Linked DNA regions of Lonchura striata. The protein of the gene in region 1 interacts with the protein of each later gene in a pairwise test. Links are inferred from orthologs where the notes say so. Each region holds a gene or a part of one and is shown in the gene's direction. Other genes may lie near its edges.

Region 1 (6,940 bases):
ACTAACAGTTATAATCTTGACTTTGGCTCCGTGTGCTGTAGCAGCTATTTTAAAGCTGGTGGTCTCAATGAGCTATACAATAAGTGGAATTTTTGTAACTAATTGTAAGCATGTTCTGATTTAGATAAAGTTTTCCTTATAGTCAACAAAGCCAAAAATCAAACTGTTTACAGTTAGTAAGCAACAGCATCAGAGTTCTGATCCTACACATTTTTTCAGATCAACCAGTTAATTAGAGACTGGAGCACTGTGTGCATACGTTTTGCTCATTGGGTCTACAATGAGCAAAACAGTGTTTTATTGTTCCATGATGCAACACACAAAAGAATATAGCAGGGTAAACTAAATTTTGCATATAATGAATAAACGAGAAGGGTTATGTCAGTCCTAAACATGTAGCAAGTGTAATCGGGCTGCAATGAGTTAATAATGCCTTTCCTAACACAGAAGAACAAAGGTGAGGCTGTGCCTGTGCTGACCTCAGTGCAATCACTTAATGGCTGTAGCATCCATTTCCACTAGTGCTTTCAGTGTCAGTGGAAGCTCAAAGACAATCTGGCTTTCTGCTGGCAAAAGTTCTGCCAGAGAGCAATACTCCCCCCTTCCAAGACCTACTTTGCAGTTTTCACATATACTACATTATGTTGTTTCTTACTATTCTGCATGCTTCCCATTACATGATTCCAACTGCTCAACCCTTTAATACAATATCCAATCATGCCCATAAGCTCTGGCTCACAGTTTTCAAGAATTAATATCTAAGGCTCCTACAAGGAAGGGATACTGTCTCCTGCTCATACAGTAGACCAAGGCAGAGACAAAGCCCTAGCTCTTGGCCTTCTACAGCATTAGTCTGCATATTTTATACCAGCCTTGTCAGTAATGCTTTGTCAAAGCAGAACACTGTAAGATGTGCCTTGGGATAGTCCTGTTGTGGTTAGGCAAGCTGGGTGTGACCAAGTTCAGAGCTGAAAGTTGTGGCTTCATGTTGAAATTCTATGAAATCTCCAGCTTTTACCTCAGAAACAGAGTTAACAGTAAAGCCTAATTAGTTTTTTAGATGTTATACTAATCATCAAACACAAAAACTTCTATACTGATGCTGAGTGATCTGAATGCCTCTTATTATTTAAATACTCTGGTCAGCCTTTATGATGGATTGACTAAGCACTTTATTGGAAACTCAAGAATCAGTCATCATCACAAGGCTACATACAGTGTGCAAACAGAGCACATTCCCAGTTAGTACTGTCTCCATGTTTGTGTTACTTCCAAAGGGCTGTTCTTCAAAAATCAGGACAAGGAAAGAGACAAATCAATTGTGAGGGACCATATTTACATAAAATTGTGAATGAAAGTTAGGTCCTCAAGACACATTTATTGTAAGATCAGAAAGCTGCATTTTGTCATCTGTTTTGATGGGGAAAACTTGTTTCAATAAGGGATTGAAACAACTATTTGACGTAAACAATATACGCAAATAGTGAGGGAACTGTGCATAGCAGTCAATATAAATAAATTGCTCTGTAAATTGACAACAGGAAGCTAGAAATATTAAGGAAAATCCATAGCAGATATTTTCTACATATACTTGCAATAAAAAAATAAATCATAATGGTGGCATAAGTTCTCCTAAATTGCAATGCATAAACTGTTAAAATAATTTTTAAAAAGCTATTTGGTGCAAGGTTTTTGTTTGCTTGCCTTTTTTTTTTTTTTTTTAAGTGACTTCAAGAGATCAGCCAAGAACATTGCTCCACTTGATAGCTACTGTTCTTTTTTTTCTCAGTGGTGCTTTGTTCATCTGGAATGAGATGGTTAAGGTGTAACTTAGTTGGCAATTAGTTTCAGTAAAATCATCGGCTGGCTGAAAGGTGTACAGTGTCACCTGAAGATGTCATACACTATATACCTACCCCAAGCATGAATAGAGAGTCAGGGTCAAACACGTTTATAGTGTTATATAGCATATAGAAATATATGCCCTGAAGCCAGGGCTACGTGTTTAAATTAGACAAAAATTCTTAGATATAAAGCAGGGGGCACATTAGCATGCTATATTTCATGTTAGGCTTATTTTATAATTTTCTACATGGTTTTATTTTGGTACCACTTCTAAAGTGCAAATCTTTAGAGTTCAGTTTGGGCTGAAGTTTGTTCTGTGTAGTTTCCCATTTCACTGATATCCCACTAGCAGCATTTCAAACAATCTAATGAGAGTCTGCCTTACCAGTTTTCAGATGTAGGTCCATCCTAATGTGAAGTTTTATTTTGGTATTGAACTAACTTTGAAGGTAATTTAATGCTCTGCAGATTAAGTAGAAAAATTCAGTGAGTAGTATGTCAGGAAAAAATTAATGTGAAAACAGCATAACAAAACAACGAAAAGCCCCAATTGAAACCCAACAACAACAATGAAAGAAACAAACAAAAAAAAAACCTCAACAAACGCATTCCTTTGGTTGTGATTTTTTTTTTTTTATTAAGTGTATGGTTATAGTTCATCTGACAAAGCAGAGGATTTTTCAGGAATGGTTTTTACATGGGACAATATCCCTGGGGACTAGCCCATTCCACAACTCTGGCTTTGGCCCGTGGTACTTTGCACAGCTTCTATGGCCAAGAGAACCAGCTCGACATGATGCAGGAGTACTGTACACCAAGTGCAAGGTATGAGCAAGTGACCTCTGTTTTTATCAGCATTGGAAGAGGTATCAAGGGAAATCTGAGCTTGAACTGGAAAATTTTAGGGGAGAGAGATTTCCATGAAGAATTTTCAACAGCATGCCTCAACAGGAGGGTACACTTGTTGCTACCACCCCCAAGCCGATCTCCCGGCGCTTCGGGAAACGTCTTCCTTACGGGAAACTCCTCCCTGTGCCAGCGCAGCGCCCGGCTCAGCCGCGGCCGGACCGGCCCCGGCGCCTGCGGGGCGGGCGGCGGGCGGGGCAGATCGGCCGTGCCGAGCCGAGCCGAGCCGAGCCGAGCCGAGCGGGCCGGAGGCAGCGGCCGCGGCGGCTCCGCGGTCCGCGCCGGGCCCTGCGAGCCCGGGGCGCCATGGCCGGGCAGCCGCTCTCCTTCCGCGCCTTCCGCGCCGCCCGCCCCGCCGGCTGCGAGTACGGCTACGGGCACGGGGACGCGCTGGGCGCGCTGCGGGACCGCGAGTTCCCCCGGCTCCGAGGTACGGCGGCGGCCGGGGGCGGGCCGGGGCGGGGCCGGCCCGGGCCAGTCCCGGCCCCGCTCGGCCCCGCGGGAGGGCTCTGGGGCGGGACGCTGGCGGAGAGCGCTGCGCTCGGCGCGCTGCCGCGGCTTCTGCCGCACGCTCGGGGGCGAGGGGCCGCTCTCCCCCTCCTCCTTCCTGTGGAACCTGTCCTCCCTCCGGCACAAAAGCCTCAAAGGTGCCATGGATTCAGTAATAAGATTTCGATGTGGATATGAAGAGGGGGGTTGAGAGGGTACTATTATTATTATAATAGTAAATCAGCCCGTTGCTAGTGAAAGCTTATAGTTAGACAGGTATTTGTGAACTGCATTTACTTCTATAGGTTTTACCATCCCCCCAGCATTAAACACCCTTGTGCATTCTACTTCAAGTATAATCGTGATGATTATATGATAGTAATTTGTTCTGTTTAAAGACCAATGCTTATGGTATTGGCACTTCAAAAATGTTATGACAAAAAGCTCCAGGTAGAGAGTAGAGTGACTAGCATCAGTTTGAATGCCCTATAACTGTTATTTAGGCCCCTGTTTCTCTTGAGAGGTTTATGTTACTGCTCGTTTTATTTTTGTAATTTCATGAGTTTTTGTGATTGAATACAAGAGTGGGCTTTCTCACCCATGGGTATTTAGTTTGAATGGAGGTATACTTGGCCTCTAGAGGAACATGAGAAAAGCTTAAGCAGCACTTCGAAGAACTTGGGAGATTTAGTAAGTCAGTGTTACAATCTGTTATTAGACGTAGTAGTTGCACCGGTGAAAATTGGAACAAAAGAAGTTGCTTATCCAAAATTTAGGCTTAAGTTCTGAAAAGTGTATATTTGGTGACTGAAACATTGTTTAGGCCTTTAAACAGATGAGTTTTAAAAACTCTCAAGAATTAGGCTAATTTCTCAGAGGCTTTCCAGTTTTAAAATAAAGTGTATCTGTCAGTGAATGATGTCTGGTTCCCAAAGGAAGGTTACTGCAAAAACAGAGCATTAGGAGGTTTCCTCCATATGAAAATATTTTTGCTAATGTAGTCTTCAGAATTGCACAGGCTGCTGAAACAAGATGTAGATGGAAAGGTATCTACAGATATTAGACTATTTCTAGAAAGAGATGAAAAAATACAGGATATAAAATAGAATCTTAAATAACATTAGCTGTGTGAAATCACATAATCAGCTATGGTGAGGTGACCCAGGTTGTAAAATCCTTCCGTCTTTTGATTTCCCACTTGGAATTTTAACATGATATCCAGTTAATGAATTGTCATCCATTCATCTTGCAAGCTTTTCTCTTCTGTGAGGAAACTCAGTGTCAGTGAGGAAATGTAACTGATTGCTGCTGTACATGCACGTGGTGTCTCTGGGACTTCTTGTCTGACAAACAGCAACATGTTTCTGGTCAGGAACTGGTGCCTTCAAGTGATACCACCAATGCCGAATGAAAGGTGGCCAGAGACAGCTTCCTGGGCCTAGTGTCCCCTGCCTAACACATCTCTTGGTCTCAAAGCTGACTAATTGGACTAGTCCATGACAGACTTCAGGAGCTGGCTGACAGCAGAGCAGTGTGGATGAGAAGCACACTGCTTTTATTTATTTACTGACCTCCTTTAATTTAGTCATGCATCCTCACTTGCCAAAGGTCTCAACACGCTGACGTTGATGTAATGAGAAGTCTTTTAAAGCTCTCAGTTTTATTGTCTTGCAGAAACAAGGTAAAGAAAGAGTGGCTAAAGTACAGGTTGGTGGCAGCAATAGTAAATAAAGGAACCTTCTCCAAGTGACTTACAAAAATTAGCATTTAGCTGCTCAAGCATTTTCCATGGCCTGACAGAACATGTAAGTTGCAGGATGAGGTAGAGATTTTACATCTCTGGTGGTCTAGGATCAACTCTCTGGTTAAGTCCTGACTGTACAAACAGTGATTATTATAGGAACTTCTACCTGTTCATGGTGTTGAGCTCTGCTCTGTGTTTCCCAACTGCACAAAGCTGCTGCAGTTTCGTCCCTTCTGGTAAAAGCAAGTCTTAACTATTTCCACTGGGCAAAAGAAAACCTGTGCTGTTTTAGGGAATTAACAGGAGTCATAGAATCATAGAATGGTTTGGGTTGAAAGGGACCTTAAAGATTATCTAGTTCCAACCCCCCCACCATGGAAAGGGATACCTTCCACTAGACCAGTCACTAAAAGCTCCACCCAGGCTGGCCCTGAACACCTCCAGGGATGGGGAGTCCACAACATCTCCAGGTGGCCTGTTTCAGTCCCTCACTCCCCTTATAGTAAAGAATTTCTTCCAAACAGCTAATCTAAACCTACTCTCTTCCAGTTTGAATCCATTCCGTCTTGTTCTGTGAGTACATGCTCTCTCCACCTCTCCTGTAAGCCTCCTTTAAGTACTGGAAGGGGCTACAAGGTCTCCCTGGAGCCTTCTCCAGGGTGAGCAGCCTCACTGTCTCAGCCTGTACCCTGTTTATTTGGGTCATGCATTGAACATCCTTCAGTCATTAAAGCTGGTTAAAAATCCAGATTTTGCTGCTCACTTTTTGTGTGAACAGAATTTTTGGAGTCCCCTTCTAGATACCCATGAATTAAGCCTAATGTTTGATTTAGGAAGTGTCATTTTTTTATGAGCCTCATGTGGTAGTAATTGTTGTGTATCAATGTATTCACTTTTTCCTGATTACTAATATTTTGTGGCATCCACTAAGGATATATTGCACAAATGGTGTTCCTGGGGAAGGCAGAAATCTTTTCTGTGTTACAGACCATTGCTTATATGGTGCTGGTGCTTCTGTTGTAGCTTTAGTATGAATAGTTGCACAGGTGCCTGTTGAGCAGAAGGTGCAAAAGATGTTTGAAGAGAGCGCCAGCTTAGCTACCAGGCATACTGTGAAGCCAGGATTTCTCAAAGGTGGTCCACCTGTATCAAGTCTTGGGGAGTTGCACTCTTAGTTCCATCAGAAGGAAAGTAGGGTTCATACTCAGTGTGTTGGGGATTTCCCCTTCAGGTTTTTTGAAGAGATAAAAAGAACTACTTTACTTCCTTAAATCAGTAGGGGTCTGCCTGTTTTGGCACAGAAGCCTTAAATTTTCCCTTTTAAGCCACAGTTTATCTTTGCTTCTGTAATTCAAAGGCTGTTAGCTGATGACTAGAGCAGCCCTTTCTAAAAATATATATGGAGTCTGTGAAACAGATCGCTGTTTCACAGGCAGCAGCGTATGTGCAATATGTGACCTTGACTTTAATCTTGTGAACAGTGTACCCTTATCTGCAGTGTAGGATTTAAAATTGTGCTTTAGAAACGGATAAAGAAATCAGCAAGAGTTTATAGGTTCTGTTGTTAACTAATGGGGATGAATATGCTTCTGTGATGTTTATCATAGCAAGGAAAATACCAGGTTCAGTTTGTATCATGTTTTTAAAAAGGAAAAAGCTGACCTGATTTGGATGCAGCATTTAATCACAAGATACCTTTCCATTTTAAGTTGTGTGCCAGTATTCTTGTCTAATATAGCTGTGGTAGTTCAGAGCGTTCAAGAGCAGTAGGCAGTGGATATTCATTCTCCAGATAAAAACTAGCATGTAATAAGAATCGGGTATTCTTTAAGGGGTTCTGACTATTTGAAGACAGTCTTTAGGTGAGCTTGAGATGGACTATCCCATTTAATGTCAAATCAGTCACTTTCCTGTACTTGGACATCATGCCTTACCTTAGTAGTATGAACATTCGTG
Region 2 (6,940 bases), on another chromosome or scaffold:
AAGAAGTAATACTGTATTTATCATTAATTTACATATACTCAGTGTTGAGAAATAGGAAAGATTCTGTGCCTTCTTAAGAGTTTTGTGAGGGACTTGGCAAGTGCATATTGAATTCTGACTACCCTGTACTGCACAGGCTCTTTATGAAGTATCTGGCTTGTTCCTTCTCTATTTACCACAAACACAGGGGTACTTGTGCTTACCAAAATGTTCCCTCTTCTGCTGTGGCCACAAAATCCTGTATTGACATCCATGTATAGTCATTTGGCTCCAAATGGAGATTCAGCTGGGTCACTGCTCTGTTTGTAAATGTCACAGATTTACAGACATATTTTTACAAGTGCTTACTGTGTGTATTTCTCCTTTTGAAGCTTTTATTATGTTCTTAAAAATGATACATACACTGTATAAGCAGGACTTCTGTATAAGGAGAATAATGTGTGAAATTCAGGCTGAAATTCATAGACAAGAGGCCTGAGACAATAACTGGTGCTAGAACCAGAGAGAAAATGTAAGGAAAGGATTGTGCTAAGGCTTGGGCTCATTCCTGCTGATAACTGATGGCAGGATGGATGAATAGAGTTTTTTTCCAGGGCACATACTAACTGCATGCAATAAACAGAGATTGATGTCTGCCCCTCATCAGCTAACCAATGTTACCAGCTCATAAAAACACAACAATTATTAGCTGATTTAGAAATATCCTCATGGTAATTTCATTTCACTTATTATGCCTAATGGATAGCTAGATATTTGCATGAAGTGTGTGTGGCTTTTTGCCTGAATTGTTAATCAAGTGATTAAGTGGTAAGTGAAAGTAGTGCATCCAGATGACATTAATGCTGTTCCACTCCTGGATGCCTCCTGAACCAGTCACAGCAAATTATCTGTTTTAAACCTCCCATAAGCTGCTCATCTGCAAATCAAAGCAGGGTTGGTATAGGCAATCTATCATGTTAAGTCACCTTTCCTTCCACAGGCTTTTTATACTGGTCTGACTACAACAGTTGTTTTGTTTTGTGGGAGTGGATATGATGATGCCCACAGCTTCTCACCACAGACACAGCTGAAGACTGCAGGCAGAAGAGCTTTCCAAAATGTTATCCAGACTGAAATGTATGTAGTAAGCTTGAATTTGCAGGAAACTATTCAGTGACATTTTATTACTTCATAAGTTCTTTTGTGTGTCCAGGTCTGGCGCCTCCAACACAAGAGAGATGAGCTTGATGGAGCATGTCTAGAGGAGGCTACCAAGGTGCTTAGAGGGCTGGAACACCTCTCCCATGAACACAGGTTGAGAAAGTTGGGGTTGTTCAGCCTGGAGAATGCTTCAAGGAGACCTAGCAGCCTTCCTGTACCTAAAGGGGGGGTTACAGGACAGCTGGAGAGGGATTTCTTGCAAGGGCAGGTATTGTAAATGCAGGAGAACCCAATGGGAAGAAATGACGATGTCTGACTCAGTTCTGAAGGCTGAATTATTTCTTTATTATAACTATGCTAAAATACATCAATATACTATATAAAAGGAGGATACTAAAACTACATACTACTTTCTCTGACTCTTAACACAACTCATGACCCTCTCTGAGAGCCCAGCCCCAGGTGGGTTGGATTGGCCATCAGGCTCAAACAATCCTCACCTGAATCCAACCAAGCACTCACCCCAGGTAAACAATTCTCCACACACATTCCACATAGGAAAAACAAGGAACAGAAATTGTTTTCTCTTTCATTTCTCTCTGTGCACCTCTATGAAAATCCTGAGAGGGAGATAAATGTGCTTGCCCCAGGCAGGTAGTGACAGAAAACGAAGAAATAGTCTTAAGCTGAAGAAGTGAAGATGTTTAGACAAGATATTAAGAAAAATCTCTTTGTTGGGAGGGAGGGTGGTGAGGCTCTGGAACAAGCTCTCCAGAGAAGCTTTGGCTATTCCATCCCTGGAAGCATTCAAGGCCGGGTTAAATGGAACTTTGAACAATCAAGTCTAATTGTAGGTGTCCCTGCCTATGGCACTGTGTTGGAAACTAGATTTTCTTTAAGACCCCTTCCAACCCGGACCGCGATTCCATTTTTCTGTGGGTGCTGAGCACAGAACGTAGCTGCGACTCCATCCTTCCGGCCCTTCCCCTTGGGGTAGCCGAGGATGAGCGGCACGGTGTCCGTATCCACCTTTCCCTTTCGGCACGCTACCCGGCACCCAGCCGGGCCACTCACCCACCCAGCCCAGGGGTGGAGGATGGAGCGGGGGGCGAGGCGCCGGGCCCCCGCACAGCGAGCGAGCCGCGGCGGGGAGCGCAGCGCGGCTCCCGCACCGCCCGCGGCCACCGGCAGCCGGGCGAGGCGAGCGGGCCCTCCCCGGCGGGAGGGAGGGCGGGCGGAGGGAGGGAAGGAGCGGGAGAGCCGGGAGAGCGGAGCAGGAGCTGCCTCAAATGCTTGAAATAATTCCGCTTCCGTTCAGAGCCGGGAGCAGCCTCCCACGGCACCGCGGCCTCGGAGCCGCCCGCTCCGTCCCCAGCGCCGGCGGCTGGCCCAGCATGGCCACCTCCCCGCAGAAATCCCCTTCGTCCCCCAAGTCCCCCACCCCCAAATCGCCCCCCTCCAGAAAGAAGGATGACTCCTTCCTGGGCAAGCTCGGCGGCACGCTGGCCAGGAGGAAAAAAGCGAAAGAAGGTAAAAATTAACGACGGGCTTGCACGTTTCCTGGGAGTTACCTTGCTGTGGGGGGGGAGGAGACAGGGGGAGAGGAAAAGCTCTGGGGAGCGGGAGGAAGGGGCTGGCGGGGAAGGACGTGCGGAGCGCGGTGGGCAGGCGAGGGAGGAGCCGCCCCGGCCCCGCCGCTCCCGGGGCCGCTCCCGGGGCCGCTCCCGGGGCCGCTCCCGGGGCCGCTCCCGGGGCCGCTCCCGGGGCCGCTCCCGGGGCCGCTCCCGGGGCCGCTCCCGGGGCCGCTCCCGGGGCCGCTCCCGGGGCCGCTCCCGGGGCCGCTCCGAGTCTGTGTCCAGTGTCTGTGTGCGGGCCCGGCCGGGGAAGGAAGGAATGAAGGAAGGAAGGAGCGCTGCCCGCAGCGGGCCGGGCGGCCGGCGGGCCCCGCAGGCCTGGGAGCGCCCGGGGATGGGTTTTCCCTGGGAGCGCCCGGGGATGGGTTTTCCCTGGGAGCGCCCGGGGATGGGTTTTCCCTGGGAGCGCCCGGGGATGGGTTTTCCCTGGGAGCGCCCGGGGATGGGTTTTCCCTGGGGGCGCCCGGGGATGGGTTTTCCCTGGGCAGGATTTGTGTGCTGAGCCCTGTGTAACGCGGTGTGGTCAGCGCACGGCGCTCTGTGTGATGCACGCCGCTGGTGGGGATCCATAGCAGCGCTCGCGGGCAATGCAGGGATCCCTGTGCTGAGCAAAAGGCTTGCCTGGCCACAGCGAACCTTTACAGGACTCAGCATATACAACAGTCCGGTTCTTTGTCCGTACTTGTGAATTAATACCCGCCCCCCCGCTGAATTTTCCTATATGAAACCCCGTGAGAGAGACAGAATTGGAATTTAACCTTGCTCACCCATCGTTTTGACAGCTGAACTTGATTTAAATATGATGCAAATAGAGACAACATAACAGTCGCTTCAAAACAGGCTTTCTAGCAAAATTCATTGCTTGCCAGCGTGAAGAAGGGTGTGAGGCTCAGCACCCCTTGCTCCTCGTGTGCACATGGGCACTGAAGCCAGACACAGAGTGTTTTGGAGAAGCGCCAGGGCTGTGGACGAGAATGACATAACTTGGGAGCGTACAGCTCCTCATTCTCTTAACTATCACGTCATGTTTCTGTGATGTGCAGTCTTGCTTTTCGATTAAATCCATGTTGCACGATTGTGCTCACATTATTTGTCTTTTTCTGGTCATTTCAGATGGACCAGATGTTGATGAAATAGTAAAGAATTACAACTCAATTACCTATTTTTAAAAATTATCCTGTTAGAGTATTTATGACTATCAGCAGCACTGAGCTAGCAAAAATCTTCCTTGATGAGTCCATGTTGTAGGTATGTTTATAGAGACCTTTAAGCCTATTTGTGGCAGTTTGAGTATGTCCATTATATTGTCGTTAGTACTGTTTTTACTATTAAATACTTTTTTCCTTAGTGACAGATACCTGAAGTCAGAAATCTCCAGCAAACCTTCAGAGGCAGCAATTGCTTTTATCCACTATCTTGTAATCTTACAAAAAGATGTCTTCTGTGAAATCATACTTCTTATTAATGCATTACATGTATTGATTAAAACCTGCACCTGCCATTTCATTATCATGGTCTATGCTTTTGAAATTTGGAAACTGAATTGTCCTTGTCTTTTGCGTTTCCCAATTTTCTAAGGTCTATCTAAAAATAACTGGATTAGAGAGCTGGGGTTTTTTTTATTAACTTTGTAAGGACTGTTATTTGCTGATGGACGAAAATGTATTGTATTAATTTCACCTTAGTATCCTTTTTACTTGCCTGTATATTTTTGACATTTCTTTGGTAGAAGCGTATATAGAGGTGAAATTGATAGTATGCTATCTTATCTTTCTGTTTATTGATTTATGGGTTTTAACACATTCAGGTGGCTTCAGCCTTACTGTGAAGCCTGTCCTCTTTCTTAGTTCCTAATTTTTCTCTACTAAAAAGAAATACAAGTTTGCAAACTATTAATAAGCATTGTTCTTGCTGGCTGTGGCCCACGTAGCTTCCATCGTAAGTTGTGCTTATTGTTTTTGTAGGGCTCCAGGTGTTTTTGAAGCCTAGCTAGGAATTTCAGAGGTCAGATTGCGTGTTCGTCTAGGATCTGAGTTTTGGTGTTTTTTTCCTGTTTTAACCAAACTGTGGTAGGTTTCCTATGGAGGTGGGTCTTGGTCATAGAAGTGCAAGTGGTTATTCAACTGCTTATGCGCAGGATGTATAGGAAAATGTTCAGAATAACTCAGGATAAATGAGGGACAACTGAAAATTTGCATGTCTTTCAGTTGGTGTAAATTCTGCTGTTACACAGAGCACAGAAGCATATTGATTTCCTTCACTGTTTTACCACAAGGTCTAAGAACTGGTGGTTTTTAATAATGCAAAAATGTTTTGTCTTTTGTAGGGACTATGCTGGTTGCACTTTAGTACCATCTCTGCTGTATGTGTAGTTAACTGTTGTAGGCGATACACAATTACACATCTGTGAGTTTTGTATTTTTGTCATCAACAGGTGTTTTGATCATTGTCAGAACTACATTTTTGTATATTGCAACAACAGAGCCAAAATGCTTCACCAAATGAAAATCTTTTAGGCTCTGAAGTGACTTTATGATGAAGAGTAACGCAGATTATTTATGAAAAGAGTAAAGTTTATGTAGTTTTAGGTGTAAAATAGTTTATGATACAACATAAAATGCAGTTTCTGTATTGACATTAATTTATATGCATAAATATATATATAAAATATACAGCAAACATTTGCTTATGCATTTCAAAGTTCTTGGCAATGGTGGAGGTCCACCAGTGGAAGAGGTGAGGGTAGTCTAGACGAGTGAAATGAATTCTCTAATATCAGAGCACAAGTTATTGACCAAAAGAAAGAGAGTAACCTGAAATACTTGAGATATCACACATGATGTAAGCACGGATTAGTCATACCATAAGACATATGTTAATATGGCAAATACATTGCCATTAAATATTAGAGAATACTTGATAAAATCTGGAGGTTGGAGCTCAGATTTGTTTATGTTGTTGTCTGTCACGTAGAGCCGTAGTCTGGTTTTCATTTACAGCATCTCATCACCAGTGGTGTAATTCAAGGATGAGAACATTGTACTGTGGTCTTCCCTGTGAGAGCATCTGCAGCTACATCTTTAAATGGAGCATACATTCTGTTGAGGTAGCAAAATTACAAATTTTTAAGGATGTTTGGAATTAATTAAATTAGCTTTTTTAGGCACTGAGAGAATTGTGAACAAGGACTGGAATACTTGACAGCCTGTCTGCAAACTGAACTGCAGTATGCAAAAGTTATTAGTGGTTTTTAATAAGGTTCTGTCCCCTTCATTGCTGAAAGGCATTTAAAGACTGGCTATCCCATAAATGCTAGTCAGGCATCCCAGTCCTTATCTATCAGGAGTTCAGATACACGATGGAGCTCATCATATGAGCAGAAAAAAACCCCACAAATTAGATTTTTTGTAAGCTTGCTATAGTATTCTGTACTGTGTACTAAACATGTCTTTAAACGCATGTAAGAAGATAACAAAATGGCCTTTTTTTAAAAAGATGGGGAGGGGTGATTGTGTTATCTAATGAATTTTTCATGGTGGATTTAGTAAGGTCATGTGTGATTGTCCTCGAATTTTCCTGGCCTGGCAATTATAAACACAGAAAATTTCCTCCCCCTAATAGCTCACCTTAGTGGAGAATGTAAAGAATTGGCTGCTGACGTGCTGATAAATCTGTGACACATTTGGGTACAGAGAGTGAAGTTCAGAATTGCTTAAATTGCAGAGGAGCAGATGGGAAACAGACAGCTTGAACCCATGAATTTGGTGGAGAGCAATTGTACGGGCTCAGTCAGTTTTCCAATTGATGTGACATCAATTTCAGTAATTTGACTGCTCTTCTGCCTGGTTTATTTGGGGTTGATGGGCAGAAGAAAGAATGAATTTTCTGCTGTCCTCCACTTATAATATTTCTTCTTTTTGTGTTTGTCTTATTATGATTTAATTTTGGTATGTGAGGTCACAGTAGGCAGTGCTCCTCTCTGTGTGCCTCAGGGAAGAGTATGTTAACAGTGTAAAATATTGTAAGTTCTGGTGGATTTTGATAATAGCCTTAACTTTCTTAATCTTTACATTATGTATTTTATGGAATAAAATGGAATCGGAAAAATCTAAGATTACAAAGTAAGAGTAAATGTAGGCTGATGAAAGCTTTTAAGGTGTTTATGT

What was found. The genes of interacting proteins can lie anywhere in the genome.
Region 2: the proteins of MOCOS (region 1) and PARVA interact in binary tests that used the Homo sapiens proteins (3 or more experiments, as listed by UniProt). The two-hybrid records come from large-scale screens. The link is inferred for Lonchura striata from reciprocal best matches to the Homo sapiens genes MOCOS and PARVA.

The regions. Positions count from the first base shown.
Region 1 is NC_134603.1:65,141,889-65,148,828, forward strand, and holds the start of MOCOS (molybdenum cofactor sulfurase), read left to right. Parts: upstream 1-3,030; 5' UTR 3,031-3,057; coding exon 3,058-3,181; intron 3,182-6,940. UniProt on the Homo sapiens protein: Sulfurates the molybdenum cofactor. Sulfation of molybdenum is essential for xanthine dehydrogenase (XDH) and aldehyde oxidase (ADO) enzymes in which molybdenum cofactor is liganded by 1 oxygen and 1 sulfur atom in active form.
Region 2 is NC_134608.1:58,365,489-58,372,428, forward strand, and holds the start of PARVA (alpha-parvin), read left to right. Parts: upstream 1-2,432; 5' UTR 2,433-2,534; coding exon 2,535-2,670; intron 2,671-6,940. UniProt on the Homo sapiens protein: Plays a role in sarcomere organization and in smooth muscle cell contraction. Required for normal development of the embryonic cardiovascular system, and for normal septation of the heart outflow tract.